Caenorhabditis elegans: one gene and its partner. The protein of the gene in region 2 interacts with the protein of the main gene of each other region in a pairwise test. Each region holds a gene or a part of one and is shown on either strand. Other genes may lie near its edges. The genes, in order: pbs-7 and fbxl-5.

Region 1 (15,821 bases), on a different chromosome or scaffold from region 2:
CTTTTCTCGATAACGAAGTGTCTTTATCGAAAAGTACTCTGTATTCGAATGAAGCGCAGGAAAAGCATCTGAAAAATTAAGTTGAAGTGTTTTTTCAAACGTTTCGATTCCCTATTTTCTGACGGAAACTCTTACTCATAGCTGTACTAAGCATGAAAATAATGCTTCATTCTATGGAATTTTATAAACATTTCTTGTTTATAAATCAACAAATATTACACCCTCACCACCCAAAGTTCTCCTTCAATAGCTTCTAAGAGAGTAATAGAGAAATATAGGGAAATAAATGGGAAAGGAAAAGTTTGAGAATTTTGGTATTAAATTTCAAATTAGATGATGAAGAAATGTGTTGAAAACTATACAATTTTTGGGCAGCGAAATCTCTATTTACTTGAAAATTGTTAAAATAAAATTTATCAATAACATGATCTTTTTGTAGTATTCAAGTTCCCATTAGATAAACCAAATCGTAAAACCCTCTTTCCTTTTTCTTCTTAAAGTAGGCTGGCTCACTACCTCTTTCTCCACAAACCAGATTCTTTCCCCTTTTTTTTGAAATTTCAATGGATCTTTTGTGAAATGTTTTTAGTAGCAAGAGCGGGATGCCTTATGTAGTACTAAATTTGATTAGGTGCCATCTCATTGTGTATGTACCTGAGGGACTTGTTGTATGGCTCCTTTTTTGGGGAGTCTTCTGCTCAGATTGAATAGAAAAAATGAAGAAAAAACAAAAATGGAAGTTTTAAAAGGGAAACAGTTGATGGTTTCACAACAAAGTTCTATGTTTTTGTGGGACAAACAAAAGTTTGAAAACAGGCGTTTTTATAAACTTTAGTTAAAAGTGGAGTATTATCAGTGGAGCTTTTGTCTACATATGTACATTTATAACAGTTACCCATCAGAGGTGTAATTCAAGCACTAGAAAATTTGAATTCCATGAAAAATTTGACCGTTATGGGGTGGTTTCCAGAAGCTTAACTTGTACTTCGGGGGATAATTGCCAAAAAGGTATTATTTAAGTTTTCAAGCTTTTGATTTACAACCTACACCAAACATCATAATAGAAGACACTCTCAGAAGTTTGAAGTCAAAGTTTTGTAACTTGCAAATTTGTTTGGTCACTTTAAGAATTTGTTTCAATATTTCTCCTGCCAAAATATCATTACACATATTGATATTTTCTTATCAAAAACATTCCCCCAATATCAGAAATTGAGTAAATATTCCAACACGATTTATATTCATTGAATGAATACAAAAGCGTCGTCAAAAGCTGATGACAAATAGTAGACGATTTGGAGAGTATTTGAGAAAACGACAGAAGGATACATTTTTGAATAGTGCCAATCAGGGAGGAAGAGGGAAATCTCTTGTGTCTCTATTTCTATTCTTTTCTTTTAAACAACAACAATAATGGATAATTTGAAGATTTGAATTATGAAATGTCCAAAATTGAAAGCTCCTATTAGAAATGCACACCGGCTAATTTGATTTTACAATCAAATTGAAAACTAACTGAATGTTGAAAATATCACAATTTGTGAGCTTGGCAAAGATAATGTGAAACAAATGTGGAGTAAGAAAAAAATGTTTAAATGGATTTTTAAAAGCTTTTCGATATTTATTTATGTGAAGACAAACAGGGACAGTAACCTAATTTTTTCCAAATTTTTCAGATCGGCTAAAAAAGTGTCCTAAAATTTTCATCTAGAGTTTAAATTATTTGTAAATGATGTGTATTTGATTTTCGCAGCAGTTTGAGCCTGCAGAAAATATTGAAATTTCCCAAAAAATCCAAAAGTTTCAAAAAATTTGATAATTTACAAGCACATTGATTGTAATTTTGAAAATATAAGAATTTGCAGAGCGTTCAATTATGATAATTATGGTAATTTTGGAGCATTTAAACAATATTGTTGAAAATTGGAAATTCTGAAGAAATATTTATTTAGGTCCACAGTCATACAAATTAGTCATACAAGTTGTCTCCTGAAAAGGTGGAGTAACGCCAGTAGTGTGTCAAAAAATAAATATCTCAATAAAACACTCTACAATGAGTTTAGTTTTAAGTTTCGGCAACTTGCCAAATTTTCAAAAAATTTGGACGTTTTTGATAATTTCAAGGTTTTTGTTTGTTCGAATCAAATATAAATAAACAAAATATAAGAATCTTAAAACGCTTATTTTCGGTCGGGCTTCTAAATATGATAAAAACCAACTAATTTGAATTTTTTGACTGTGAATGAAAAGTTTCAAAAATCTTTTGGAAATGCATTTATTACACTGATTAGCCATTTGAGCACCATAAAAGTAATTAGCAAGCTGTTTTCTAGTTGGATCTCTCCACATAGTGATCATGGCAAGTCTCAAAGTTAACTATTTAACATGTTCTTTACATAAAGAAACTGAACGTGTTAGTTTTTAGAACCTAAGTGTTGCACGTTTTTGCGAATGCTAGATACCGTACTTTTTTATTAGTTGTTTAACTACAAACTTATCAAGCTGGATTGAGTGTCATGAGCGTGAGTTTCAACAAGTAAAAGGGATGAAGGAAACTATTTAGACCTAGGGTAAACTAGGTCGGAAATTGTTACGGCAATATGTGTTTTTCTAAGATTACAAGATAAAAGACAAACATACTTTAACAATTCCACAGAACGAATAAAATAGACAAGAATCAGTAATATTGAAGGCAGCTGCCTCATCTTACATCCATCAGTGGTGTTGAGATGGAGACCACGAGAATTTCGGAAAAAAGGCGAAAATGTGGTGGGCGGAGTCAGAGTCAAAGCAACGAAAGAGGAATGAATGAAATGAAGAAATGGAAATAGTGATGATTGTAGACACGCCCCCATGAAATGAGGAAACATCTGTTTTCAGTCATAGTAGGAAAATTAACATATGGAAATGATCAAATTAAACATTTTCGCAAATATTTGATAAATGGGAATGAAATTAAAAATTCCGTGATACAATTTCGTAAAATCTTGAACAATTGTGGTTTGTCACTTAAAATTTAATTCTCAGATAGCCATTCCAATTGCCGAACACTATCTATTAATAGGGAACCATATTTCTCGTTTAAAAATGTTTATGTGTCAATTGAGATTTTTTCAGTGAAATCGATTTGAAGAGTACAGATAATATATTTTTTATTTGTCCCCGTAAGTGTATTTAACTCACGGGTTCTGCAGATACATTGTTTTAATTTTACGTTGTGTGCTTTGCTATTTGAAAATTACTGTTAAAGTTGAACATTAAATTTATTAGCACATACTTAAAAAGAAAGGCCATAGAAATTGGTACATCAAATGAAAAAAAAACAGTGGAATCACAAAGGAATAGAATTGATATTAACTAATGAGAAATAGAAATAAAAAGAGCAAACTATTTGTGACTGGAAAGCAATAAACATATATTTATTGTGGAGTGATCACTTTCTCGACAATTCCAGCTGCAATTGTGTTTCCACCAGCTCGAAAAGTGACTCGTCCAAGAGCTCGGCAACTTGTGAATGTTTCAATTGCGATATCATATTCAGTTTCGATTTCAACAACTGCCGACGCTCCTTTAGCAATAAATCTGGAAATAATTATTTAAACTATTTTCTAAAAAAAATGCGCTTAAAATATTTCTAAATACTCTGTACTACTCTTCTAACCTCGGTCCTTTTTTTAATATTTCTCCATTTGATTTGTTGATTGTATACAGAAGATTGGTGAAAGTACATGGAACACACAAAGAATGTGCATATAACTCGGCTTTGGCACCCTGAAAACAATACGTTTTTAAATTTATATTTGAAATGCAAAAGTATACCTTGATAATAGGCATAGCAATTTCAAAGGCAACCAATCGAACTTCAAACTTTTTCGATGGAATCAGAGTATCTGGACCAGCACGTACAACAACAGAGCCTGTTTGAATGGATTCAGGTTCAAATGTGCCTTGAAGAGTCAATAGAATATAATCTCCAGCAAAGCAGTGCCTTGAACCGTCATTATTTGCGCATTCTAAAAAACTTCGTTCTAATGGAAAATTAGTAATTCGATTTCTACCTACCTTTCACAGTAGCTGCAGTAACACTTGACATTATATATACTTTATCATCTTTTTCCACTTCTCCTGACTCAATTTTACCACTAACGACAAGTTGATTCGATGCAACCTAAATTAAAATATAATACGATATTAAATAACTTCTTCTAACCTTCAAAACATCACTGATTCCAATTCGTAGTGGTCCATCAGAAGGTGGTTGCGGTGCTACGAAACTGTCTGAAAACGTTTAAATTACAAACGATCAGTTTGGTTTTTAAACCAACCAATTAACTCTAATAAACATGGACCATCGTACCAATCTAATTCCATTCGTTTTATTAAATTCTCTCCAGTAAAACCAGAAACTGGAACGAACTTTGGTTTAGAAAAGCCAGCCTGACGAGTTAAAAACACGGAGAGATTATTTTTGATTTCATCGAATCGATCTTGGGACCAATCTACCGTATCCAGTTTATTCACAGCCACAATAAGTTGTGTTACTCCTGAAAATTGTCTCTTGCAGAACCTAAGAATGATATGTTTATATTTTTAAAGATACCTAAACTTCTGAGCAGTAAGGCATGTTCTTTCGTCTGTCCTCCGTTTTCAAATCCTGTTTCAAATTCTCCGGTGGTCGCATTCACAACAAGGATGGCTGCATCAGCTTGTGACGTTCCTGTGATCATATTTGAAATAAAATCTTTATGTCCTGGAGCATCGAGAAGCACGATTCGTCGATGTGAAGTTTCGAAGCTTGTTCTTCCAATGTCCATGGTAACTCCGCGCTCACTAAAACAAAGCTTGGTTGGCTAACAAAAATCAATTTTAATTCCATCTTACCGTTCCTCTTCCGTTTCATCAAGTACCCAGGCATACGCGAAAGAAGCTTTGCCATTTCTAGCCGCTTCATGTTTGAATTTGTCGATTGTACGGCTATCTACCACTTCAAGCTGGAAATATGAGAATTTAGTTAAGTTGAGTGAATCCCACATTTTTTTTAAACGAAAAGGAAAAGTTTTTTTCGCCGAAAACACGAAGAAAGGGAAGAACAAAAAATCTACAACCCTGTTGCCGGTGGGGTTAATTTACTTAAAATGCTTCGAACAAGCCACGAAGTATAAGTTATTAAAAATTAAAAATGTTTTAAGTAACAGTCAAAAAAAGGAAATTCTTTACTGTTGTTGCCATCAGGGCTGTACATTTTTCGGTTTCCGTTTTTTTCCTGCTTTTGAAGAAAATTTATTTTTAGATATTTTCGGAAAAAAAAGAGATCAATAAAGTAACTGACGAATTCTTAAATTTGGCAGTGTTACTATCCAAAAAAAACACTCGAAATTATAACTTGAGTGTTTTTGTCGAGAATACCTTTTTCGTTTCCGGTTTCGGAAAATAATTGTTTTCGGAGTCCGCCCTGATTTTCATTCATCAATAAAACGATTTTAAGGGCTTTAGATTTCAATTACTTTGTAATTATTCGTATTTAATCATTTTCAGGGTTCAAGACTGCAGCAATGCTTGAAACTACTCAACGATAAATAAATGACTGAAAATGTTGAAAAATCTGAAAAGTTTCGAAGTGTGCATTCTTGACACTCACTCATGTTCTACCAAAAATTTTGACGACACTTTCAAAGTTTCAATAACTTACATCATGAAGTAAATGACCCATGAGAGTACTTTTTCCTGCATCGACATGTCCAACGACAATCAAGTTAATTAAATCTTTATCAGCAACTCTTGGTTTTGGTGTTTTTCGGGCAACTGACGGAGCTTTCGCGATGTTCTGCAGTTGATTGCGTCGAAATGATGTTAAATCGACTTCAGAAGATGGGCGGCTCACAGTTGGAGTTGTTGATTCTGCTTGAAGCTGAAAAATTAGTATATATAAGATATAAATAAGATGCGAAATGATGCTTTCAAAGAAAATTCTCGTATTGGATTACGTGATAACTTAAGTTACAGTTGAATTTTTTAAAGTATTCTCGAGCTCACATTTTTAACTTGCGGCGTTCTTTTTGGAGTATTCAAATTGCTAGACGTTTGTGGTGTACTCGGTCGACTATTAAGATTCTTCGGTGGTTTTTGATTTTGATGGAGCAATGGAGCTGTCATATTTCGTACAATAGTAGAAGATAGGGAAGTTGTTGGAGCTGCAGTAGGTGTTGGAGTTGATACAGGTGGATGATACGATGATGATGGAATACCAGGATGTGGAGCAGGAAGAGCTGGTGAATTGCGACCACTATCTGTCAGATATGTATAGTAGTTTGTGGATAATGAATTACGATCATATGTATATTGCTCTGAAAATTTTAATTAATTATTTGAATGAAAAATAAAGTTTTTCTTACTTTCCGGGTTCTCCTCATCTTCATAATCGTCGTAATCGTCGTCATAATCGTCGTCCATTTCTGAAAAGACAAAATTGTTAATCTTCGGTTTCTTTTTTTTGAAGCTTACCATCTTCTAAATTTAAATTTCGAATAGCACGGTGGCGGGACATCTGAAGAACTGTTTTATATTTAATTCGCAAGTTTTCTTTCCCATCGTTCAAATAGATAGAAAGTTTCGGAAGATTTACAACCGATTTAACGAAATCATAATAGAAACATGGAGGGATAATAAATTTTAATTCAATAATAGCATAACAATAATAAGAAAGATCCTACTACAACAAAAAAAATTCTGAACTTCTAAATGAGATTATTTTTCAGTCATAGTTGGTGGTGGATGATAGAAGAGATTTGAATGAATAACAGTTTCAGTAAGTGAAGAGATTAAAGCTGGTTCATACTTTCCAACTGTTTCAAACGATTTTCCTTCGATAACGTCAATTTGGCGCATTTCTTGAGCAAGCTGAAATTTCGTTTGAATTTGAAACGTTTCAGAAATTAGTTTTAAAAAGGGTATTTTCAAAGTGTATATTTTGCTTACTTTATCCAATTCATTATTCAATGCTTTCCTCTTCTCTTGTGTCTCTCTTTTATGCTCTTCAACTTCTTTATCGTACTTTTCGTGCAATTCTTCCAATCGCTTCTCTTTTTCATTTTCAACTCTCAACTTTAATTGTGCTTCGGCCCATGCCTGAAATTTGTTGTTTTTTTAGTGTTTAAAGTTATCAATTTGCAAACTTTACCTTTCTAGTTTTCACATGAGCTGGCTGTTTCGGTACATGATACGAAATTTTCAGAGCGGCAATTGTTTTCTCGAATGCAGTCTCATTACGTTCACGTAAAATACGAAGAGCTTTACGGCGTTCATTGATTACGAGCCAGATTCGATGGGTGAGCCATGTTGGCTTCTGCAATAAATGTTAGAAATATTGCCTTTTTAAAATGTTAAACTACTTTTTTGGTTTCCTGTCCAATGTCATTAACAAGAAGAGACCAATGCCGAATTAAAGCCGTTAGCCAGGCAACTGAAATTAATTTTAGATAATATTTTGTGATTATTTCTCAAACAAACTTTTCATTTCCAAACTATTTTCATCGAGAGAATGCTGCCTTACTGATTTGATAAGACTTTGTTTCCATTCTTGTGACAACTCTTTTCTCGTCGCCATTTCAACACTAAAAATCTTTTTGACAGACTCTGGAGCATTCGAAAGAACATCTAAATCTTCATATTTCGCACGAGTTTTCGATTTTTCAATACGAGGCAATCCGAATTCGGTTTTTTCGAGAATCTGCAAGAATATTGCTTATATCTATAAAACTCTTGATTATCATACCAAATTATCAGCTGCTTTCAAACCCAAATCGCGTTCACTGCCAATTTTTTCGTAGTAAAGCTTCGTAAGTGCATCGATGTAGTTTTGATCTGAAAATCACTTAATAGAGATATATATCTCGGTACTTGAATATACTCACCCAGTGGCAGTTCTCTCGCTTTTTTCTCAAAGTAATCCGGATCTTGCTTGGCTGGGTCGGTGACCTGAAAATGATATATCAAATTGTGGCTAGTTTTGTTTTTTTTTCCACCCACTTTTTGATGAACGTTGTAGAACGCTGTTCTTCCTCGTTCCAGCCGACACGATGTGTGCACAAATCTTCGAAGATTTATCATCTGAAAGTATTATAGAAAATTGAACAAAAATACCGTTCAAAACTGACTTAATATTAATTAATCTAATCATTCATGAAAATTAAAACAAAAAAAATTTCCACGGCGCCTTGGAACTCAATGAGATACGGTTTGTAAAAGTCCGCAAACACCGTGCCGCTCAACTGCGGACAGCCTCGCTGAATTAAAAAAACCAAGGATTTCTTTCTCGATTGCTTAAAGGGTCCCACCACGATTCAAATATACTACTGTCTTGATTAAAACGGGCTGCTTGTATTTTGGGGGATTTTTTTAATGAATGAGCACTCATGGGCAACATTATTCCCTTTCTATTAAGTTTCATTTAAGGAACAAATAAATTTTAATGATCTATTCAATAATTGATTCCCTCGTCTCCCAATTTTATTGCCTTATTAATTTCGAAACACATTCTCTCATTCACACTCGAAATTTTCAGCGATGGCGACCCACAAGCTGAGCTTCTTCGAAAAGTTGGCCAACACCTTTGGAGCTCTTTACCGTCATCAAGCTCAGCAGTTCCCACGCCGTCTCGCTATTCTCAAGGCTGTTGGAAAGCACGAGCTGGCTCCACCCCGGTCTGCTGACATCCCAGCTATCAAGGCGGACTGGGCTAAGCTCCAGAAGTTTATTGAGACCAAGCAATATGTCAACCTTAGTATCAAGGTAATTTGTTACACGCTGAAACAACACTCAATAAAAAATAACTTCAGGAAAGTCTCGTCTACTCGGCAGTTGCCCTCGAGGTAGTCTTTTGGTTCTTTGTCGGAGAAATGATTGGACGTCGCTACATTTTCGGGTACATTGTTCCAGCCAATTATGTCTCGAAGGATACAAAGGCTAAGGTTGCCGAAAAGAAGAGACTCGCTGCCCTCGAAGCTTAATACATCGATAAGCATATTCATTTGTGAAAATATGTGTTTTTTCTTCAACGTTTGTTAGATAAAAGAAATTAAGGCTTTATTTTTCTAGTTCAATACAAAAAATTACAATCCACTAGTTTCTTCTCCAGCCTCTCGAGTGTAATCCTTCCGATCTTCCTCAAAAGTTTCAAGTGCCTTATTTTTCACTGCATACTGTCTTTTCAGAGATCGGCCTTTGAAAACATGAGAAGTGATTGTTGGAGCAAAAATGATTTGATTCGGAGCGCTAAAAATAAAACTCGTTAGAGAAAAATCAGTTTCGAAATTCTTACTCGGTCGCATCATCCTGGCTTATTGAACTTGTAGAGAGGGTTTTATCTACAGATACTTGTTTCTTGTTGAATTCAATAGTACCGTGCAAGGTATTCATGAAAACAGCATTTCTTTCACAACTCTTCTTGTATCTCGCATTAATTGATGCCAAGGACTCGGACATGATGGTGTTTGCTGTGTTGCTAGGTGGTTCTGTTATTCCAGCATGTTTAACTTTCCCCCCAGCAGTCATTGTCTCAATCAACTTTTCAGCAGTAACCGTGTACTTTCCCTCTGGATCATCGTCCAACGTCATATCCTCTCTGAAATTCAAATATTAAGATCCAACGGATGCAAGCCACGAAAATTACTCTTCGTCTTTTGCCATCCAATAAATCATCTTTCCTTTCTTCAATTGCGAACGGGAAATCGGTTGTTGATACCAACTGGCTGGGAACAGGGCTCTTTTGTCGTCAGTGGTATTCACAACTGAAAATAAACACTCCGATTTCTGTATTGTTTCGTAGTTTTACCGAATTTCTCCATCGGGGCTGTTGGCTCTAAAACTTCTTTTTGCTCCATTGTTTCCACTTTTGTTTGCTTGGGATCGACAGGGGCAGCGTATAAGCTAAAATATGATAATTTCTACATAAAACCATTCGACCCATTGAAACCTTTTCATCTGATCGTACTCTGCTTGGGACTTTTTTATGTTGTCCTGTTTATCTTTCCTTTGCTCCAAACTGATTTTCTGTTTCTTACGAAGAGCGTCCAGTTCCTTTTCACGAGCTGCCTAAAGTTCATGGTTAAAGTAAATTTCTCTATAATCTCTATGTTACGTGATCACGAATCGACACAAACTTTTTTTGTGGAGCCAAAGTGGATAAGTAGTATTCTTTCAATCGTCCAAATTCTACATCAACTTTCACTCCTTGACGATTGACAACCGTATTGGCTCGTTGCATCTTTGGATGGCGCTGAATTTCAAGAAATAATGTATTTCTTTTTAACTTTTTAGATGGATAGTAAAAACCGTAATTAAGCACTTCCTTTGCGCGGCGAGATATATATATATATATACTGTATGCTTACCACGTCTGAATTTTTCGATTTCGAAACGTATTGAGACTGCGTATGAAAGATTTCAACTACTTGCTCCTTTCGAAATTCTTCCCAATTTTTCAGTTGTTTCTGAGCATCCTTCCTGGAAACCAAATCAGATAAGTTATTACATATACATCAATTTATTTAATTACTTGTGAGTTTCATACTGATCATCACTCAGTTTATACCGCTGCTGCATCTTCTTTTTGTAGCTCATCTTCTTCGCCTGTTTCTTTTCATAATCAGATTTCTGTTTATCAGGCGATGGTGATAAACTGAGCTTTTGGAGTTTACCTGAAAGCGCTCGATTTTACTTTAAACCAAAAACTCATCATACTTTTTAAACCAGAGAAATTCATGCTCGCTATTTTTGACTCGAGCACTTGTGAAATGATGCGTGTGAATACTTAGACGTGAATAGAAGGATTAAATGGAAGTTTATTTATCGACTTCACGCGAAAATAAATAAAATTTACACCGAAAACGTGGGTTGGAGAGAGTAAAATGTTTTGAAAAGAAGGATACAAATAAGTTAAACATGGAGATACTGAAACGCATCCTGCACACCGGGGAAAACTTATTCATATTGACAGTTAGTCTCGGCAATCGACCAGTCACCAATAATCTTCTCTTCTTTACCCAAAACGACACCTTCTGTCGCATCAACACGTCCGATTTCGAACTCATTGTCAGCGACGCAGTCGTGGTAGAGAGTAAGTTCAAGCGATTTGCGAAGCACGGCTTCTGCCTCTTCACGGGAGAGGTCTTCTCCCTTCTTTCTCCACTCATCTTCAACAGCTTGGTTGAGGAGGAACGCTCCAAGTCCAGTTGCAATGTGCTTCACTTGATATGCGCATCCCTGAAATTTAGAATAATTATTATGTGATTATTTAATCATGAGATTCTGATCCGGCAAGTTAACGCTTTCAAGTTTACCTTCTGAGTAATGACACCGATGAAAGGTGTGCTAGTCTCCTTGTTGTTCTTCTCCTCCTCTTCGACTCCGGCGACAACAAGTGTGTTCCACACTGGGTTCATCTTGCAACGTCTGAAATTTTTTACTTAAACTTTCAATTTAATTAGGAAAACAGACTTGGCGTAGAGAAGGCTTGTGAGGTATCCGTGGAGAGCTTTTGGTCCAATATCCTGATCGAAGCGCTTCCAGAGAAGAACCTGACGCTCGATCACATTTTGAAGCCAGTGGAAGTCAGCGTGATCTCCTCCGAAGGCAATGAGAACATTATCATTGACCTTGTATTGACGAGAAACATTCTGGAAACAAATATTATGAAAATCCACTTTCAGCTGAACGGAAATTCAAACCTTGTAACGAGCCATTTTTCCATAGGAAACAACTCGATCAGTAAGGACAACAACCCCAGTTTTATACTGGAGAGCGATAACCGATGTTCCGGTACAAGTAGGATTCCTGAAAAATTGAGTTAATTCAAACGAATATAGGTTTAATGACTTACAGTGTGCGCTGGACTTCGTCGTGAGCATTCATTTTGGTTCTGAAACAATATAAATGAAGTTTTTGAAGGGAGTGCTTTGAAAAAATGAAAGGAAGTGAATTTCGACAATGAAATGCAAAAATGGCGGCTAAGTCATCATAAAGCATGTGCGCTCCGTCGAATTTTACACTGAATACCACGCACAATTGCGTACTTCAATAAGAAAAATTATCTCGCGCTACTTTTTTTGAGATAATATTATAATATAAATTAATTCATATTTTATAAATATATTAATTCATATTTTATTCTTTTGAATTCTCACTGAAATTGTGAAACTATTTAAAATATAAATTGTTTCAGAAAAATGACCTCGGAGCTTAAAAATAACGAAGAAGACTACAACTCATCGTCCGATGAAGATTACGATCCAACAAAGGATACCGATTTTGATCCAAAGGATGAAGTAAGCATTCCTAGATATCGCCCTTTTATTGCTCATTCTCCTCAACAGATCGATGATCAAGAAGAATGCGAAGATGGAATTGACGAAGAAGTTGAACATCTGAAAAATGAAAAACAAAGTGACGACCATACATCAGAAAAGGCAAACAGTACTGAAGGAAGTGTTGATGTGGATGCGATATTTGCAGAATTAACTGGGCTAGCACCGAAACCAGTTGTCAACGATACATCAAGCAAGAATATTCCAAAAACTGAAGAAAGGGTGTATCCAAAATCAGCAGCGTATGTTTGAAACAAGTAGAAATAACTTTTAAAAATGTATTTTACAGATCTGCATCCAACGAGTCTACAAATCAGAAGGTTTATCCGAAAAAGTGAGTTGACATGAGTTTTTATTTGATACAAATTTAAAAACAACTTTTTCTTATTTTTCTAATAATTTTTTTCAGAACGGAAACAGCTGGAACATCGTCTGAAAGTAGCATTGTACCCGGAAAGAAAAGAGTCGGCTTGCTTGATGCTGCAAAATCACTGTCGAAGCGTTCTAAAATTTCTGTTTTGGAGAAATCTGATCGAGATTGGAAAGATTTTACGACGCAAAATAATTTAAAAGTATGTTTCTTTAAGTTTAAGGTTTTTGAATAAATTGTTTGTTTTTCAGGAAGATTTGGAATCTCATAACCGAGGGAAAGGCGGTTATCTGAACAAAATGGACTTCTTAAACCGAGCTGATAATCGCCAGTTTGAAAAAGAACGAGCGTTCCGTGCAACAGCTCGTAAGGACACTGGACAGTAAATAATTCTTTATTTTTTCAATTGAATCTTTTTTGTGATTTTCTGGTTTCTTTGACAATTCGTAACTTTGAAAAATTCATAAACCTTCTGTAAAGATACGGACATTGAAATTTAATCATGAACATATTTAATGGACAAAAACGAGAAAAATGGTAAAGGGAGACAATAACTAAATCTAGAAAAAGGATGAATCATGAAAAGGGAATTGTAGAAAAATCACATTCTAAAATAATTAAAATGAAATACAACAACTTTGGGAAAAGGTAGGTTACAGTTTTATAATACGAACTCGTTTGTTTTTAAGGACTTTTTGTGGAATTTTTGCGAATTGTTTCAGAACAAAAAAAAATCTGCTACTTGTTTTTAAAACTGGGATTCATGAGGAAAAATAGATAATGGAAAATAAGGAAAAATTAAGATTTGCTGGGCTTGAGGGGAACATGATGAAGACATGAAGTAGAGAGCACATAGTGGGATGTGGAGAGAGAAAGAGCTAGAAGGAAGCGAGAATTGTTTTTCTGATCATTGTGTTAATTTTACAAAAAAATGGATAGGAGATTGTGTTGATTCGATGATGACTTATGATGTTGATGATGGTAACGGCAAACAGAGAAAGAAAAGAACAGGAAAAAAGCGGATAAAGCATGAATTTTGAAGCACACAGAACAATTGAAAGAACAAGATATACTGGAAGATAGAAAGCTAAAACTAGAGAAATTATGACGAGATGATGTAGAAAGGTAATCAGATAATGATTGCAAATTGAGATTTTTTAAAAATTACAATGAATGGGTAGGCTGCATCAATTAGGTACAACTATTCTTCTAAATCGAGCTCATCATACAGATCTTCATCTTCATCAGAGAAATAGACCTGAAAGAAAAATGTGTTATTTTAAAATTAAATTTGTATTATTTTCAAACCACCGAAACACTTTTTATTTGCATACCTGGTTATTGATAACTCCAGAATTTCTATAATTGCTGTCATCAAAGCGTTCGCGTTTGATTGGTGGTCTAAAAAATTATTTTATTTTTACATTGAAGCCAGAATTTTACAAATTTTTACCCTCTGTTAACAGGTGCCTTTCGTTTCCTCTTCTTCTGAGCAGCGACATTTCCTTTGGCTCGTTCGAGACATCGGAATTCTAGAACAATTGGATAGATCTTTGAGAGTACTTCGAGAACATCGGCTTCCGATTGAGCTCCAGTGACTGTAATTGAGCCAGTCGTATGAATTCGAAGAGTAGCTTTTGGTGTCACAGATCTCCAAACAAGACCAACGGAAAGTTCAGGCTCATATGTGGATTCTGATGGATATTTTGCTGCGACTTCTTCGATTTTGATTCCGAATGGAAGACGGCACGTGGCCAGAACGTTGTTCACCTAAATTCCACATAAACTTAATAATTAGATAAATATTTTAAAGTTGCAAAATTTTATGGTATTGACAAACACACAAAAACGGTATCGCGCGTGGTGTCAGAATGTCCCATCACAGTCTGATCTACAAAAAATGAAACGTGACGTAGAGTTTCCAACTGGTGTCGCACGGTTAAGAATGTGCTGACGTCACACTTTTCTGAGCAAAAATACCCGCACTTATTGTAGATCACACCGTGATGGGACAACCTGACTCTACGTGGTATCGTAATTTTTTTTTTCAAATTTTGAAATGGCTCTTTAAAGGCTCACGACTTTCTTCAGATGGGTCTCGACGCGCAAAAAGTTTATTGTAGTCTTTTTCTTCAATGTTTGCGTTTTTCAATGAAACTGCACGGTTTTCAGCTTTAAAAAAAAATTCTGTTAAAAAATCTGTTTCCAAATGGGGGCACCACGGTTTCAAGATCTGGTGGATTCCGGTTCTACGTTTTCCAGATCTGGCACCAAAACGTAGATCCGGAACCCCACCAGATCTTGAAACCGTGGTGCCTCTCCAAATGTTCAAACTTCAAAAAAAAAAGAAAGATTACCATAAACATTTTGCGTGCCGAGACCTTTCTGAATAAATCCGTGCGCCTTTAAAAAGGCATGTAAAAATCTGGTGAAACTACGATACACGGTCAAATAATTTTAGTACACTAGTTTGCACGACTGACATTTTTACACTTTTCTTCAATTTAATTTAAATTTACAAGTAATAACTTTAACAAAAATGAAACATCTTTAAAAGAAAAAAAAACAAATCGGAAATGGCGGAAGCTACTGTACTTCTTGAAGGCGAACTTTTTTTAAATATTTTTTTTTTAATAGATAAATTTTTTTAATAGATAAATTGAAACTTTTCAAAACTTGCTCGATAATTTCTAATCGAAACTCGTTCTTTCGTTTTTCCCATAACTCGCTGAACATGTCTGGCAATTGAACGTGCAGCTCGTTTACAATCCGCCTCACTCCGGCAACCAACAATATATACTTTTCCAGAACTATATACTTTGATATAACAACCAGGCGATCTTTTTTGTTTCATCATTACTCCTTTTTCTCTTTCATATGTCACGTTATGAGTGTTCATTGCCAATTTTCGAAGATCAATGTGCAAAGGGAGTGTATAATTACAAACAACATTTCGAATCTGGAATATTTTCAAGTTTTGATGATTGATTGCTGTTAGAAAGTACCTGAATATCGATATCACCATCATCTGGCATTGGTTCCTCATTGGCAGCCGATGTACCTTCTGGAGGAACATCTGGAACCTCAATTTT
Region 2 (16,974 bases):
ATGATCTCATGGGATATGTATGTCATTATTGTTATTACATTCACATTAACCAACTGTTTTTGTGATATTAGGCAAACAGAAGTACAGGGTGCGCCAAAAGTATCATAACGCGACGACTTCCAAAAAAAAAAATGATAAAAACCGAGTTTTCACATCTTTTTTTTTGACTAGAAATAAAAAATTGCAAAAATCATTTAAAGAAGTTTTGTTATTACATTTGGCAATTTTAGCGCCACAGGAATGAATTTTAATCTCTCCCTCACTTGCCGTACTTTACATTTCGAATGGAGCATTGGAAAAAATACATCTTCTAATGAGGTGTAGGCGTCCGTTGCCTTCTGGCTATTCAAATTTCAGAAAATCGACAAAGGTCAGTAATTACCACCGGGAACTGTAAGATTTCTGAATATTTTTGAGTACATAATGTTTCATAACCACATGTATCTAGACATAGACTATTCTGCAATTAATCATTGAAACTTTAGGTAAAATGTGATAACACGAGCATCGTATACATATTTACAATGATAACAGCAGCTCTGATTAGACCTAGGTCTGCGCTCAGTTCAAATTGTTTCTATGTTGAGTTGCACTATTTGTTACTACTAATTCTAGAAAAATAAAGAATTTATTGAAAACTTGAAACTTTAAATGTGTAAATTCATTATGTTGCTTTTTTCCAAGCCTTCTTTTTTCATGACTCACATCTTAATATGGTTGTGTGAAGTGGCTTGGAAAAAAGCAACATTACTCAAATAAAATGTTTTTCAAAAATCGAGCTGTCCTTCCTTGTCTGAATGAAAAAAAACGGTTCACGCCACATACAAAAACACACTGGCCAGCTTTTATTATGTGGCTGCAGAGAAAGTCAAATTCACACAACCATATTAAGATGTGAGTCATGAAAAAAGAAAACATCTTCATATTGAACAATATCCTGGAAACTTTAAAAAGAACATTGTGTTGAAAATTTTCAGTTTCAGTCAAAGGTCTTCATGTTTAAGTTTCGAACGTTTGCTTGATTTAATCAAGTTTTCTAGCAAAGAGTAGTTCCTGCTTTTATCTGAAAATACCAGATTTATTTAGAACTAAAACAATGAAAAATCAATTCCAAATTTGCAGTGCAAAATACGTTGCTCCCATCAAAGCTTTATGGCGTCGTAAAAGCTTAAAATATACAAATGAACTCACCCTGATAACACTCAAGACACACCTTTCTGTTTCTGATGTATTTATTTTTACACACGTTCAAGCTAGTATCTGTTTTTTATTTTTTAAATTGTGTTCTTAATTTTGTTCTTAAAAGTTTGAAATGATGCCTGAAAAATTAGAAAATTATTATAGTTAATTTGAGGTGCAAACATGAGGTTTATGAGCAAAATCTATTGCATGTTGCCTTAAATTTATTTTTACCGAAAAATATAATCGGCTCAGGAAGACTCTTTGAAAATTGGTTCCCATGGATTAAAGCTCACTTTTATGAGTCGAGTTTTAAATTAATTTAATTATCGTCAATGTTTTAAAAATACTATAATTACTACAAAAGTTTGACTCTAAAAAGGTATTTTGCAGAAATATATTCTAGAAGAACTAACTAATTAATTTCTGAAGGATTTTCACAAAATTCAGACTACAAGTATTAAAAAAAAACAGAATTTAATGAAATATATATTTTGAACACTTCCTCAATCTTATACCTTCCCCGTTTTTTCTCCTTAGCAACTCCGAGCAAACCAGAGACATCACGAACGTTTCTTTATTTGCAAACTTTAACAATTCTTTGAAAATTGAAAAAAAACACACCTTTCACAGTTTTCTATATTAAAATAAAATGATCAAAACAAACAATTGGAATACTTTTGTACTCGATCATGTATAATCATCATCATGTATATTCATGTATATATTCATGTGCATATTTATATTCATGTATATTTATCAGATTTTACAAGAGTACCTCAAATTTTATGATTTATAAATGTTTGAATATTTGTGGCTACACACCCATATGATTGTCATTTCAGAAAGTTCTGAATCAAACTACATCAGTCATGGAAACTTTTGACGCAATCTCCAATAGTAGTCATATTTTCTGCATTTCTGTATTTTATTAAAAACTGATTCATTTTATTTTGACCACACCCTTTTTCTTATTAATTTTTTTCCAGAAAAGTTTTTGAGGTTTACTTAAAAAATGGTAGCTTCTATTTTACAAAAAAAAAGTCTAATCATTAATCAAAATTATATTTATACGCGTCAGTTTAATTCCAAATAAAATTTTGTAAATAAAACATTTTCAGACAAACATTTTGTTGCGACTTTGAGTTAGTCGAAAAAATTTCATTAATTCAAGAACAAAAGTGTAATCTCCATACTTTTTCGAATTTTTCTCTTCAAAAATGAGATTTCGCGTTTCAAACGTATTAACTCTCTGAAAATCTTGGAAAAAATCATACCCTTACATTACCACGCTCTCCAGAGGTCGAAAAAAAGGACACGCGGAGGTCATATGTGAGCAAAGGTAATTCAAATGCCAAAGTTTTCTGAGGCCATGTGGAATTTGATTTTTTTTCAAATTGATAATTTTTTGAAAATTTGTTCCCTTGTGGAAGTTTATTTTTTCTTCGTTTTTTTATAGCTTTTATCGTTAATTCTCTTTTAAAATTGAACTTTGTAAACTTTTGAAACATTTTTTCTGCAGCGAAAATATTTGTTTCACAGTGAAGATATTTTACTCTCAGTCCAGATCAAATAAAATAATTCTGGCATGTGCCAATATTTTCGTCGTAGGAAGGATGTAATTTTCATTTTTTCTCAAAAGTTCCATTTTTTAAACCTCAAAGTACCGCATAATTTAATTTGAAATCTTTCAGATGCAGAGGATATATCAATTCATACTAATAATCATTTTATTATTATTATTAGTCTTTGACATATTTACCAACAAGCCAGAATTATTTCCAAGTTCTCGAATTTCACCATGCTACACGGAATCGTCACCAACGAGCGGAAAACTGGAATCAAATGCTGAAAAATCAGAAAAATTAATAAATGTGCCATCAACACTGGATTTGTCAAACAAATCATATTTTATTGATGGATTCGATCGGTTTGACTGGTATCAATTTCAATTGTTTAGAAAAACAAATGACAGACCGGTAAGTTTTTTTTAAAATTTCGTGAAGATTCAGTTGTTTTTAAGATGGTTTTTTTAATCTTCTTAAAAACATCTGATTAAAAAAGGGTTACCAAAGCTCTACAATTTTAGCCAGCCCTTTCATATGCATAATATTTTTTTAATAATTTGTGTGAAACCTCAAAATTTTCACGTATTCCAGAAAACAGCCAGCAACATCAGCACGCTGTATGCATATGAATTTGAGCACGAAATTACTGTTACAACAACTTCTTGGAAACGTATGGGGTGAGATTTCAATTTTAGATCATATCTCACTATCAGATAATTCCAGACATCGCGTCTACTGTCGTTACCTTGATGATAACAATATCGAAATTGGAATCCCATTTGAAAGTCTCACGTATCCAGAGTATATTGTCAGCTGTAAAAAGAGAGACGGCACTAAGAAAATTGGGTTAAGTGTCGAAAAGAATGGAGACTTTTTTCCATTACCAATTATTGATAGAATGCTGAAAAGTGAGTTTTATCTACAATTTTTAACGATTTGAAAAAAAAAAAAAAAACTTTGTAAACTTTAGAACCAAAATACGAACTCTCCATGTGTGTTGCATCCATTTACGGCGATGAACCAAAATGGTTGATGTTTATCGAAATGATAGAGCATTTCAAGTTACAAGGTGTCCAACACTTTTACCTTCATATCCATCATGCTTCCGAATATGATATGAGAGTGATTAATGATTATGTGAGAACGGGAGAAGTTGAAGTACACTATCTTATCGAAAGGGATATGCGGGCTGATAACCATTGGCATATGGTTAATCTTGCGGTGAGTTTTTTTTTTCTGAAATGATAGAAGTTAGAAATAGTTGTGTCACATGCATAAGTATTGTGCCAAGTAATTTGTGATAGTAGATCTTGCATGCACACAGGAAGAAGATTCAAGAAAAAATATACCGATTACTTTCAATTTTTGATACTGTCCAATGTTTCAGGACTGCTTAATATGGTCCCGCGGAGAGACAAAATGGACCATCTTCGCTGATCTAGACGAACGAATCTACATGACAAACTATACGGGAACAATTTTGGATTACGTCCAGGTCGTCAAAAATGAAAGTATTGCGAGTATTCAATTCAGACAGCAATGGATAATGAAAACTGAACTGATGCCACCAAAATATGAAGGTGATCGACAGTTGGACAAATGGATGCCAACTCATCGATGGCATAGTTCGAGTGGAATTGGTCCACCGGGACATACTGCAAAATGTATTGTTGATACATCGAAAGTGTTCATCATGTTTATTCATTACGTAACACAATTTTTCCCTGCGACGAATGGTTCGAATTATGTGCAAATTCGTGTTGATCCGGAAGAAGGACTTGTTAGGTAAAGCACAATTGTAACTATTAACTTGTCCAAAAGTCTATTTTTTCAGACATTACCGTGATCTGTCTCTTGGAGATTGGGGACGAAAATGGCTGAATTCAACTCTGAAATTTGGTGCTCTACGAGACACTGACTATCCAAGTGCATTTCTTGGAAAACTGACGGAAAACGTGAAACGGAGAGCAAAATACGTTTATGACAATTACTATGATTGATGATTATGGATAATTTATTGTGCTAGATAAATAATTTTTTAGTATAGTTCCAATTGATCTCAAAACGTGTTTATTTTTTCACTTGTCGTGTTTTAATATCAAAGTTTACTGGTCTTCGTTAGCATTTCACTGATTGTGAAAACAGTTAATTTAAAATTATGTTTAATAAAAAATGATTCGAATAAATTTTACTATTTCAATTGAAAATTTCGAATTTTTGCGCAGAATATGCACGATAACATGGTATCTTTTAAAAAATGTTAAATTTTTATGTTCTTAACCAATTAATTGTAAAAAATTTTAAAGAATATTATTCAGCTTTCAATATTAAAAAATGTTGGGTTCCCTAACAATGACGCACACTGCAGTAGCTACAGTACTGTAGTTGTAAATTGAGATATAAAATCTTACTGTTAGATTTTAACATGCAATTTATAACTACTAGATCATAAAAATTTTTTGATGATGGCAGATTTGTCGTTGTTTCATGTGTTATGTATCTTGTTACTTGTGGGTTCCAATTTCCGGTGATACACTTTTTTGTAAAAGTTTGAACGAAATGTGCAAGACAAAGTGCAATTTGAAAAAATTTCATAGTTTTGAGTTCAATAAATAAATTCACTATCAAAAATTCAAAAAAGAAATAACGGAAATGTGACGGATAAAACCCGCGTAAAGCAAAATGGAAAGTGTCTGGAAATTTCAAAATAAAAAGAAAATTTGTTAACATAAAACAATTTTACAAAAAAATTAGGGTGATATCGCCACAGAGTGTGGACCAATTGGAAAAGGTGCTGGAATGAAAAATTGAAGGCAGAACTTGCCACGGCTTAGACTGATTTTTCGGGAACGAAAGTCGTCGGTCACCTTGAAATCAAGTCCCGGGCACAGGATAAAAGTGAGGAGTGAAGTTTCAGACTGTGATGGTTCTAGAAGAAGTCCGAAATCCAAGTCCATTTTGTTAGGCGTTGAAGCAGTCGAGAGTGCTCTCTGAAAACAGGAAAAATAATGAAAGGAATAATTAAAGACTATATTTAAGGAGTTTTTTCCCATAGCGATAAATTTCCCTACAAGAATTAATTCTGAAACACTAAAGTAAGCAACCTTTCAAACAAATTACGAAAACTTTTTCGGTGCGGAGGTTGACATTTTTGTGGCTACGTGTCAAGTTTAAAAAGTTAAAATCCTGGAAAAAAATAGCCATAAAGCTCCAAATTGGGGGCCAAACTTTCTCATTTTGTGTCCAAATAGAAATACTTCTCCCATTTCATATTACAATCTTAAACTTACAGTCATTAAATGCCTAATTCCATCCACTGTTATTCGACTTGCACACCCATTTCTGAACTGGATTGTGTTTGGCGCTGTTGTCCGTGTAGCCCAGTGAATTAGTGTTTGATCAGTAACTTCGTTGAGAAAACAAGGATATCTTGGTTGAATTTGAATTGTTTCCAAGTGAGTTAGAGACATCAGCACCTGAAAATTGTACAAATGATGGTGGGTTCATCATCACTCCAACTTCTTCAATCTAATATTGTTTAAAAATGTATCCATGAATATTTTTGGTTTTCGAACTATTGAGGTCTGCATGAGGTATGCAGGTAGGCAATTGAGATAACGTGATTGAAGGTTTATTAAATTCTTATGGACTAATTGAATATTATTATTACTTCTAAATATTTAATGAACAAAAATAATTAGTTAACAAATTAACTCTGAGTGTTCTTTCAAACGCGAGTGTTCCCAATTTCTAGGAAACTTTGTCAAAATCTGATCTTTTTTTTTGCAAAAAAATCCTTACCTTGTCAGAGATCAATGACGGATGAAATGTGCAGAAATCAATGTATAGATGCTTGATGGTCATTCGAGACAGCAAGTCCATGAATTGTGTCCATGAGAGTCGGATATGACACAGTGACAGCGCCAGCGTGGTGACATGTCTGTAACGATCAAGTTGGCTTGTTGACACGTGTCAAAAAGTCAAAAAAGTCAAAAATGTATATATAATATTTCAGTTTCTTTTTCCTCCCACTTCTCCTCTAGGCACACACTTTTCTTGTTTGACATTTTCGACATTTTGATGTGTGTCTGTGGGGTTGTCCAATAGAAATGAAGGGAGGCAGAGAAACGAAATAATGACAGTTTGGCTACCTTCTGACGGTTTACAGTAATACATTTGGGACAGTTTGGCATTTTTGAAGAGTCATCGGGTGATTTAGAAACTTTTTTTTGCAAGATATTATTACAAAAAGAGCTACATAATATATCCAACGACATAAGAAAAAATTGCAGCATAGTTGGAGCAAAAAAATGTGCCGTTAAAAATTATTTTACAAAACTACTGTACTTATTCGCAAGATGATCAGTGAAATTGGTCAGATATTGAACTATTCAATTTGAAGTTGTTTGCTCGTTTTTACTTAATGGTGAGCCGTTTATGGAATTTCTGAATTTTCAACTAGCCAAAAAAACCAGAAACTCGTGTGGAACGATGCAGGCGAAGAAGTGCTCTAAAAGGCAGGCAGGGATTTTTAGATACTTTTTATTTTAAAAGTTTATAATTTCAAAAAAAAAACCAACCTCAACGCCTCCTTCTTCGCTGTGAGCATTTTGTAAAACTCTTCGTCCAACGTAACTCCATCAAAGGAAAGCTTCTCCTGTAACTCGACTTTTCTCAAATTCTCCTGCACAAACGAATTCGCGGATTCTGATGAGGTTGAGCGTGACGGATCTTCGATTCTCTCTGATCTTTTCACACCACGATCCCTTCTCATCGTGACTACAACACGTCTTTTTGGAGCATTCGACGTGGATCCTAGACGAAGACGACCGATTTTTGAAGGTGATATTGGTGAGACACGAGATTCCACGCTGAAAAATTGAATACTGTCATTGAAAAAGTTTAGAAAGTGATGTTTTCTAACTCACCAAAACTCTTTGACACGAGGTTTTCCTAGATTAAAAGTGTCCACAATTTGATGAAATCGTTTGTTTAGCCGTTTTGCACGAGCCACATCATTCGGGGAGGCGGTATTCAGAAGGCGGATGAGCACATCGTCAGGCATGCTACTGAGATCCATTCTGGAAATTTGAAAGGTAACAATTTTAATTGGAAAAGTTCTAGTGATAAAAATACGGATAAGAACAATACGAGGGTAGGAGAAATTTAAAAAAAATAGAGTACGTTTTCATAAAATGTTGTGGGCTGGCCCAACTCTGTAGAAAATTTTCGAAAAAGTTTGCCCTGGGTTTTGTAGCTGAAGGACCGATTCAATTAACAGTTTCATATATCACAAAAATTGTGCTAAATACGTGCTAAACTGTAAAAAAAGAAAGTATATATCAATTTGGCAAACTGACAATCCGGAAGTTTTTTGCAGGAAAATAAAAGTGACAAGAAATGCAAAAAATTCAGATGAGAGAATGGAACAGGTGAATGACATGTGTGAAGAACCAGAGAGATTCGAGACGAAAAATGATTTAAAAGTAGGCTCCGCCTCCCCACCAAATTTTCCTGTCGACCAATCTGGGTCTCTTCGCAGATATCCGAGAAGACAGGCATACCGGAAGTGGGAAGATTGTGCTACAGATGATGAACGCATCACTATTATGTGTCAATTAACATGTCAAATTTACAGATGAGAATAGGAAGACAAGAGGGATGATGACAAGATACGGAGCAGGACAAAAAAGACGTCACTTGAAAACGAATCAGCCATCCCCCTTAAATAGGCGCACAAATTGGCAGGTCCACGGGAGAAAACAGCTGGTTTGACTGGCGTAGTGCATGTTTGCGGACAGAAGACATCATGGAAATGACAATCCGCTTATCATATATTGTTGCAGTTGGGAATAAAAAAGTAACGGAAGGTGCCAATTTGTCTGGTCAGCAGATGAAGAAATCACCCCGGGTGTCAATAAGGGAATATGGTGACGGACGGTTCTGTTGGTTTAACCAGTTATGGAATCTATTGAGAGAGAGAAATTAGATGGCATAGTAAGATTAGGATGAGTGAAAGAAAAAAAGTAGGACGGATGTGACAAATTAGCTTACTGTTTGGGAAGATGATTTGGGAGATTTGGGAAAAATGTAAACTGAGTTTAGGTTCCGGTTTCTAGAAATTTTAAGTTTCAGTTCTAATAGTCTTGAAATATAGCTAGACAATTTGAAATTTACTCTAAAACTTTGATGGAAATATGCTAAACAACCAAGTTATGGGCTTTTGACTTTTAATGTATAGTTTGGCGCCTTTAATGCCGTTTTAAAACCAATTTAGTACGGCTTGCCCGTAAGAATCAAAATAAAAAAGAATCAGAATCTCAAAACATTTAAGTAGGCCATCAGCGCATATGGGATTTACATGTGAGCCACTAGAATTTCAAAATGTTAATAATTATTCTGGAAATAAGATTTCCAGCAAATTGACGCAAACATTTGAAAAATGAAGAAGTCATGAGTATCTGACAGAGATTTAGCCGAATATAAAAAAAGCTTCTCGTAGAAGTTTGGCAGATATCTCAACTTCGACCCGTTTGTCAATTTGCCAATCTACTTCAAACCGACACGCTGGTCCTTTTCAAAGAGTGATTGAAGCTTACGAGTTTAGAAAACAGAGCATTATATGAAAGAGATTTACATTTCAATCATTTGAACGAGACAGGTCAACTCGGACACAAAAAAGTGACAATCTGCCGAAAATCTGTGTGTATGTAAGCTCCGGTGATGGCGGTGTAGGGCTCTCGGAGCAAAAGGTTCTCTCCCCCGTCAAAATGAGCGATGCCTGGACGTTTTTTTCCGTGCCCGCGGTGCGTTTCAGAATGAATATGTTTGAAAAAGGAGGAGAAGGCAAGGAAGGAGAAAGCAGAAATAGAGGAGGATAGCGGTAAGTACTTGAAAGTTTTGAATGACACACAAAGCGCAGATAAATTTGAATGACTGGAGCAGTTATCCGACATAAGCTGTCAAAAATGTGACAGTGATCTAGAAGGATCTATCTTCAAGGTTGATCTAAAAGGCTTACAGCCCTGATAACTAGATTGGTGGGCAAGCTGAGCAGAAAAATTAGGCTGAAATGAAATTTAAGATTTGCACTAAATTCGCGGATCTAGGCTAATAATTAGGTGAACTAAGTGTAAGCTGATGCTTAATCAGAAGCATAAACAGAAGACTAAGCAGGATCCTGAACCTAATCCTGAATCTAATCCTAAAACCCACCTATGACTGCGTAAGGCTAAGCTCAAGCCCAAGCCGCAACCTCATGAAGTCCTAGCAGTTTGAAGTCCTTGCCTAAGTCTGAACGTAAGCCTATTTCCAAGACTCAGCCTACAGCTAAGCCTAAACTCAAGCCCAAAATTAGCATTAAACCAGAACCTGAGCTAAGGCCTAAACAAATCCAGATCAATTTTTTTTTTGAAAAAACCAAGTAGGCGTTACACAGAAAATGTCCCCTAATACGTCTTGACGCCATCTTCATAAAATGTGGTTATATATTTCCACTTTAAATATTCATAGAAAATTAACAGCTACACTGCAAAAATAAGGATCCTCTGGGAAATCAGTTTAACCCAGAATAATGTCATTCTGATCAGTCATTTCAGCGAATAAATGTGCCTTGTCTACTTTTCCCCGAGGTGTGGTTCTTTCAGTAGATGGCGCGGGCCTCGTCGCAACGACGGACTGTCAATCTCCGTCAGCACTTCATCCATCTCGACACTAATATAACTGTCGCCGCCAATCGACGTCTCTTCTCTCACCGGTGACACTCTCATCGTCGCGCTCTCTCCAAGGATCCCATACTCGAAACGTCGGCGTCTCTTCATCTTACGCGCTCTTCCCGCGAGACTTTTAGCTGTCGTCGACTCGGCCGTGTGTCCGAGGCTTGTCACTCATAATTCGGGCCCACCCGTCCGTCCGTCCCCCGTCCCCTTGTCCAGTGAAGTGTGTGTCTGCAAAGGGTGTGCGCACACACATTCTGACACTCTGAGAGAAGGCTCTCAGAAGCTTGTAATTGAAACTCAAGTACTAAGCCATCAATATCAATAATGACATCTGAAGATGTTCCGCTTCAACAATTCATCAGAGAGAAGGAGTTGATCGGTCCGTCAGAAAAGGGCAAAAGTGAAGAGGAGTAGACAAAATAAAGGGTACTAAAATAGTATTATAAATGGGGAAATGTGTTGGTGCTTAAAGTTGATAACTAATCAAGAAATATAAACTGATCTGCTTCTTGAAAACATGTGTCTTAAAAATTGATGGAACATTTTCAAAAAATTCAAAAAATATATTCAAATGTGAATACCAAATAAAGGGCGCAGATTTTTGTGGTTGTTACGTTTACATTCAACAAAAAATTTTCCGAAATTTTAAATTTAAATGAATCTACAGGAAACACTGTTTTGAAGCAAAAATTATCGTTATGACTGGAAGTAGAATTTCAAAAAGACTTATTTTTAGAAGGGTACGGAGAAAAAATGTGAAATTTTTATGTTTTATCAAATAAATGCAAATAAATAACTGCTCATGTTAAAACCTAAGACGATCTACAATCAGAAAGACAAAAAAGTTCCAAAAACCTACAGTATCACTAACAGCATCTTAAGATTTTCGGGCGGTCCGTCACCATCTCCAACCTTGTAATTTTCCGCTTGATTTGGCACCATATGGGTCGACTTGGACAAAAACCCGGTACCCATAGAAGCGGAAAATTTTTGGCGCGACCGAAAGATAACAACACACAGTCACCTTGGCAAGATAGAAGACGGGGGAGGAGGGGGAAGACGTTCGTGGCGTACTAGAATTTGTCATCAGTTCTCTTAAAAGAAGGGGGATAATCAATCGGGTGGCAACAATGTGCATTGACAACAATGCATTTTAGAAACGTTTAAATTTTTTCGGGATGGGAATAATACGGAAGGGTGGTAGTGGGGAGTTTTTGGAAAATTAAGAAACAATTAATTAGTTAACTCACTATTTTAATTCACCACTTTATAAGCCAGAAGACTTTTGTATTTATTTGAAATTTGTGAAGTGAAAAGACTGCCATTGGCTCCGTTTTTGCCGCAAAATTTTTAATGACTTTATTTTATTTTAGTGAAATTATAAGCAACATATTTTCCGTGTTGGCACTGAGCCAATACTTAATTGACAGTCAGTCATTTGCATAAAATGTCAATATCAGAAAAATTTCAGTTATTTGGAGTTAGAATTATTCTAGACATATATTTGTTTTATTAAGAAAGGGAGGGAACTCTATTTTTTAAGCAAGCACCTCTTTACACAATTATTTCAAAATTTTGATTTTTTAAAGGAAACATGTTTTTATAGAACGGGATTACTGATATTTGAGTATCTAGCCTGCAAATTCCAGAAAAATTTCGTTAAAAATTTTTAAAGAAGAACATTTCAAATAGGATCTAAATTTGGTGATACGAAAATCCGTATAACGGCAACAAGTTTTACAAAAATGAGAGGCTAAACTAAATTTGATTGATATACAAAATTGCTACAACACTATTTGTTCGGTTGAATAAATTACTAAAGAGCCCTCCTAAGCTTGCATGCAGAACAGTGATAAGAAGAACAAACGGGGTATAGTGCATGTATCATCATCGTTCACGAGACCACCTTTATATGCATGTATTTGCGGGAAAGTGCATTCAGAATAATTGACAGGTGGTCGACATTGTCAGTTTCGGTGCCGGCCGGTGCCTGCCGCCGCCTCAAGACCCGACTGATAACAATTTTTGAGCCATCATCGGAATTGTCGAAAAGTGACAGAAGGCGGAGGTAACAGTTTCCAGATGATACAGCAGGAGGCACCCCCATTAAGGAAAAGTCATAAAAGTTGTTGGCGGTACTGTATCTCTAACCAAGATCTGACCGAACAGCAAGCAGTAAAAACGAATGATGGCATTGTCTTTGTTGCGTGCGCAGGAAATCAGACAGAATTACCAGAAGCAAATGGTAATGAGCAGATGGCGGTGACAGGTAGCTACAAAAAATTGGGCAAAAAAAGTTGGTTGCGCAAGTGAAAAGGGAGACTAATTGGAGAAGTGTCCGCAAGCCAAAGGGACTCAAGAATCCCGCCCACCTGGTATTATCTCAAGAGCATTGTGTGCACACCGAACAGGTGAAAGGGCTCTTGTACTAATCAAATGCAAATAGTTGAGAATATGGACATAGAGAATAATTCAAATGGCAAAATGAGTCTTATTACGGGTTGTAAATCTCAATTTGGATCGCACCTATGAGTTGACAGAGGTGCTAAAAATTGAAGAGGAGACCGAGGTGAGAATTCCTGCCTGCCTATCGACTATTTTCTGAATACTGTCTGGCAATCACAGAGTGTAATTTAAACATTTCTTAATTTGAAGGTAGAGTTTTGCAATGGGAGAAATCGTTTAAAATCAGACGTATGGAACTAAAAAACCAAATTTCATAGCAAAAATTTTCTGGAGAAATTATCGAAATTAAAAAAAAAAGTGTATGATTTTTTTTGAATTATGCCAATTTACCAAAAGATGCTGCAAATTTAATTTTTTCTAAATTTTTTCTTTCTCTCATCTAAATCTTCAATGACGATACTCCGCCATTAATTAATTCGTTGGAGTTCAGCTAAAAACGGAACGTCGATAGGCGATAGGAGTTCTTGAAAACAGCAAATAACTGTGGAAAGCTCACCCTTTCTAATACGAGAAAAATTGTAAGAGATTGTTAGGAACACAGGTTTAGTTCCGATATATTTTTCCACATTTGAAATCATAGGTGTTACAACTTTTAGGTAATCCTAACTACAAGAAAAGACCCAGGAAAAAGCCCCCAGCTTAACAAAAATTGAAACTTATTGTCTAAACATATTTAGGCCGTTAGACCTAATTTAAATTCATGAATATATTCACGACAAACAAAAACTGAAAAAAAAATAACTTACGTGCTACAACATCCAAAAACATCGTCGTCAATCAGATATTGACCACATCTGAACATCTGCTCATTCACCTTGACTCAACGAGTAAAGAAAGTCAGAACAGAAGGTGAGAACTCCACACGCACCCTCAAACATAGTCTTTTATTTCAGACCTTATCGGTCCCTCTTTGACGTATTCGGGCTCTTTCACTGCCACAGTTTTTTTTGCACACCAACTGTTTTATGACCCACAAACGTAGGTTTAATGGGTTTACACGAGGGTCTAGAGAAATGCAGAGCAGTCGATTTCGTTTTTTTGTTCGTTTCAGAGGTTTTTTGTGATAGATTTGATGGACATTTTCATTTAAAAATAGTTTGCCGAGTGATTGGCAGTTGCAGAGGAATAATAGGGAAGTGATAATTTTGAAATTGTTTTCATTTTAAAAAACGTTTGAGTTTTATCAGCTAAAATGAAAACGGAATTGCTTGTTTGGTTTTACACTTCAACGTTTTTTAATGATTCAACTTTATAGATAATGTCGCTTACTGGGATCTTTTCCTCTACGGATATAATCTCCAGTAGAGTTCTTCCGATTGTCGCCAATTTGCATTGAAGTAAACATTCAAATAATTCAAAAAAAATTTAGAAAAAAAGTAATTTAATTCAATTAAAAAATATCTTAGATTACCGTTTCAAAAAAAGTTACAAAATGTTTTCCCAGGCAATAATTCTTAGAAAACACCGAAAAAAACGGGGTATGAGTTGTTAAACACGTATTGCAAAAAAAAAAGAAGAATGAGAATAAATTATAAGTTTTTGAAAAAAAAGCCACTACATTAATATAACATGCACCATATCCGGTAAGACCACAAGAGCCACCTGTACGTCTATTGTAAATCATGCCGTCACAATTCATCACCTGCCAAGTTGCATCATATCGGCTCTAATAAGAGGGAAGGAGAGAGAGAGAGAGTGTGTGGCGTAATACTGTAGAATTAGTAGACAACTAATGAAATTACAAAGGGAACCAGTTTTTCTTTGAGACTAATCCAGAAAGTGATAAAATTTGGTATTCGAAAAATCAGTCATATGGCCGTGACCGTTGAGGTTTTACAGAAGAAGAGGGTATTAACCGGAACCGTATAATAAAATGAGTCCCTGCCGCATGAAAACGAATGTAGGTGAATGAAAGGAAATAAAGAAATAACAAAGAAACGGGGGACAATATTAGTTAAACTTCTGGGTTAGGAGGCGCATTCGAAGCCCATAAAATTGTTGAAATATGGTCGATGGTTAAGGAAAGGGACTAGGTTTTCAACGTTTTTGGGTGGGTGCGGCTACTGCCTGGACACTCATTCAATAAATCAGTTATAAGATGATTGGCACGTCACCAAAAATGGAAGAGGAAGAGATGGTGGATAAAAAAAGACGGGCGCTCCAAGGTTGGCGCCATGAGCTCTCAAGGGTGTCTGAATAGTTGATTGACTGGGTGACACGTTGATTTTAGAAATGGACGACAGAATTTGAAGATTTGAAAATTTCCTGCAGTTTGGAAGTGTAAGTCTTTGCGAATAGTCTAAATTTTCTTTCGACATTTTTTCTGACATTTTACCAAATACAATTTTCAATTGTGTACTTTCAAATGACTATCTAAAAAAGGTTCATATTTTTTACTTGCTTTCAACAGTTCAGCAAGATTAGAAAAAATCATAGAAAGTGAGTTTCAATTGTACTGATTAAGCAAAAATGAGCTGGACAGATATCTGGGAATAGAAAAATTATTTACTTTTGACTTATTTTCTGCACTCACCTTTGTACTACCTTCAACGCCTCTATTCAAAAAAATGAACAAATTATTTCCGCCAAATGACAAAAAAACCCACAGATGTCGTCGGCGGAAGTAGGCAGTTTTTAAACCTTTCTTCCGATCATCATCGTCATCATCAGAAGCTCCCCATATGTTTCTAAGTATCGTATTTCGCGCATTCATTTCATCGGCTCCTCCTCCCCCTCTATCGTCCGTCCACCGGCTCCTCTTTTTATCCCCCCTCTGCTCGTTTCACCCGATGTTCGTTCTCTTTTTCTCTTCGAATCACAAACTATTCACACTCTTCTACCCCCTCGCATTCGACATATTCTCGGTGATGTGGTGGTTGTAACTGAAATGCGACACATAAAAACCCAGACGGCGCTTTTGAGCTTCGCCGACGCCACAAAACCTCTGGAGAAAGAACGGCAGGAAGGAGGGTAAAGTACCATTTTATGAGAGGATATAAAAACATTCGCAAAGTCCAATAACAACACTTGGATAGTGGTGAAAGCGAAAATCACTGGGTTTTTTAGAAGCGCAAGTATTGAAAATGTAGGGAGCTCGAGAAGCAAGCCTAACAACAAGAAGTGCTGAGAAAAATATAAATTTATTCAAAAATACAGTCCGGTATTAAATTAATTTATCGTGACGATAAGCATTTGAATAAATCCGTGCGCCTTCTTTAACGTCAAGTTGTAAAACTGCGATGAGGCACACCGGATCTCAGGGCGACAAAATTTACATTAGTTATTAAAACGTCTTTTCAGCTGCAGATAAATAAAACATCGAGAAACCAAAGATAAATCTCGAGAATCTCGAAATGAATGGTTATTGGACAAACCTCTTTTTTAATTTGAATGTTCCTCAAAAGTTTAGTAGGTTGAGAAAAACAAAATTAGTTTTCTATATATCTTTCTTTTGAAAAAGACTATTTGAAAACTCGAGACGATGGAGAAATCTCAATCACATTCGAGAAGGTCGTACGCTAATTGGAAAACAAATTGAAATCATCACACTCTTTCGGTCAACTTCTGTGTTGAGAACGAAGCCTTCGAAACCCGATTTTCCTCATTCATTTTACGGTCTCGGGATGAACGAGGGATGATGATGAGAATGAGAGTGGCGTAATACGATTAGGTAAGTGCCACTTTTTGAGTATTTATGCGTACCAAAGAGGCCGCTGATGGAGTGCCGAGGAAAAGATTATTGACCTGGGAACCCAGAGGTATGCAGTATCTGAGAGTGAAAAGGTTTATGACTTTATGATGGTGAGGAATTGGATTACAGGAAGCATATGAGCCATCGGAGAAAGGGATACATTTCGTAGGTTTTGAAAAAGAACTTTTGATGCATTTTTAAAAAAATACATGTTCAAAACAAGTTCAAAACATTCCATCTTTGAAGCTCCAATTTTTCCGAAAACTATTGATTTTAGGAAAAGTTTAAAAAAATTTCGATTGTAATGACAATATGGTTTGAAAATTTTTGAAAATATCTGAATTCTGCAATT

Evidence for each region.
Region 1: the proteins of fbxl-5 (region 2) and pbs-7 interact in a two-hybrid assay, tested with the Caenorhabditis elegans proteins (2 studies listed by BioGRID).

What each region holds. Positions count from the first base shown.
Region 1 is NC_003279.8:8,684,386-8,700,206, forward strand, and holds pbs-7 (Proteasome subunit beta), read right to left. Parts: upstream 11,917-15,821; 5' UTR 11,908-11,916; coding exon 11,876-11,907; intron 11,830-11,875; coding exon 11,724-11,829; intron 11,673-11,723; coding exon 11,494-11,672; intron 11,449-11,493; coding exon 11,337-11,448; intron 11,260-11,336; coding exon 10,978-11,259; 3' UTR 10,820-10,977; downstream 1-10,819. Other genes in the region: hot-5 (Homolog of Odr-2 (Two)), read right to left, coding at 1-68, 2,641-2,705; hbs-1 (Tr-type G domain-containing protein), read right to left, coding at 3,420-3,582, 3,662-3,771, 3,820-4,013, 4,063-4,168, 4,211-4,278, 4,326-4,544, 4,601-4,830, 4,882-4,991 and 4 more; mrps-15 (Small ribosomal subunit protein uS15m), read right to left, coding at 6,745-6,897, 6,976-7,125, 7,178-7,342, 7,389-7,459, 7,507-7,726, 7,772-7,860, 7,911-7,974, 8,026-8,106; asg-1 (putative ATP synthase subunit g 1, mitochondrial), read left to right, coding at 8,563-8,787, 8,835-9,005; K07A12.5 (Pre-mRNA-splicing factor SYF2), read right to left, coding at 9,108-9,270, 9,317-9,619, 9,668-9,785, 9,830-9,924, 9,971-10,089, 10,136-10,273, 10,389-10,500, 10,553-10,694 and 1 more; F39H11.1 (Craniofacial development protein 1), read left to right, coding at 12,222-12,320, 12,369-12,601, 12,649-12,693, 12,769-12,931, 12,981-13,115; tlf-1 (TATA box-binding protein-like 1), read right to left, coding at 13,931-13,987, 14,064-14,130, 14,183-14,499, 15,410-15,688, 15,735-15,821.
Region 2 is NC_003283.11:7,739,717-7,756,690, reverse strand, and holds fbxl-5 (F-box domain-containing protein), read right to left. Parts: upstream 7,829-16,974; 5' UTR 7,828-7,828; coding exon 7,676-7,827; intron 7,619-7,675; coding exon 7,328-7,618; intron 6,688-7,327; coding exon 6,549-6,687; intron 6,224-6,548; coding exon 6,038-6,223; intron 5,738-6,037; coding exon 5,498-5,737; 3' UTR 5,323-5,497; downstream 1-5,322. Other genes in the region: gtnt-40 (Glycosyltransferase family 92 protein), read left to right, coding at 2,874-3,158, 3,339-3,424, 3,471-3,655, 3,718-3,968, 4,135-4,532, 4,582-4,747.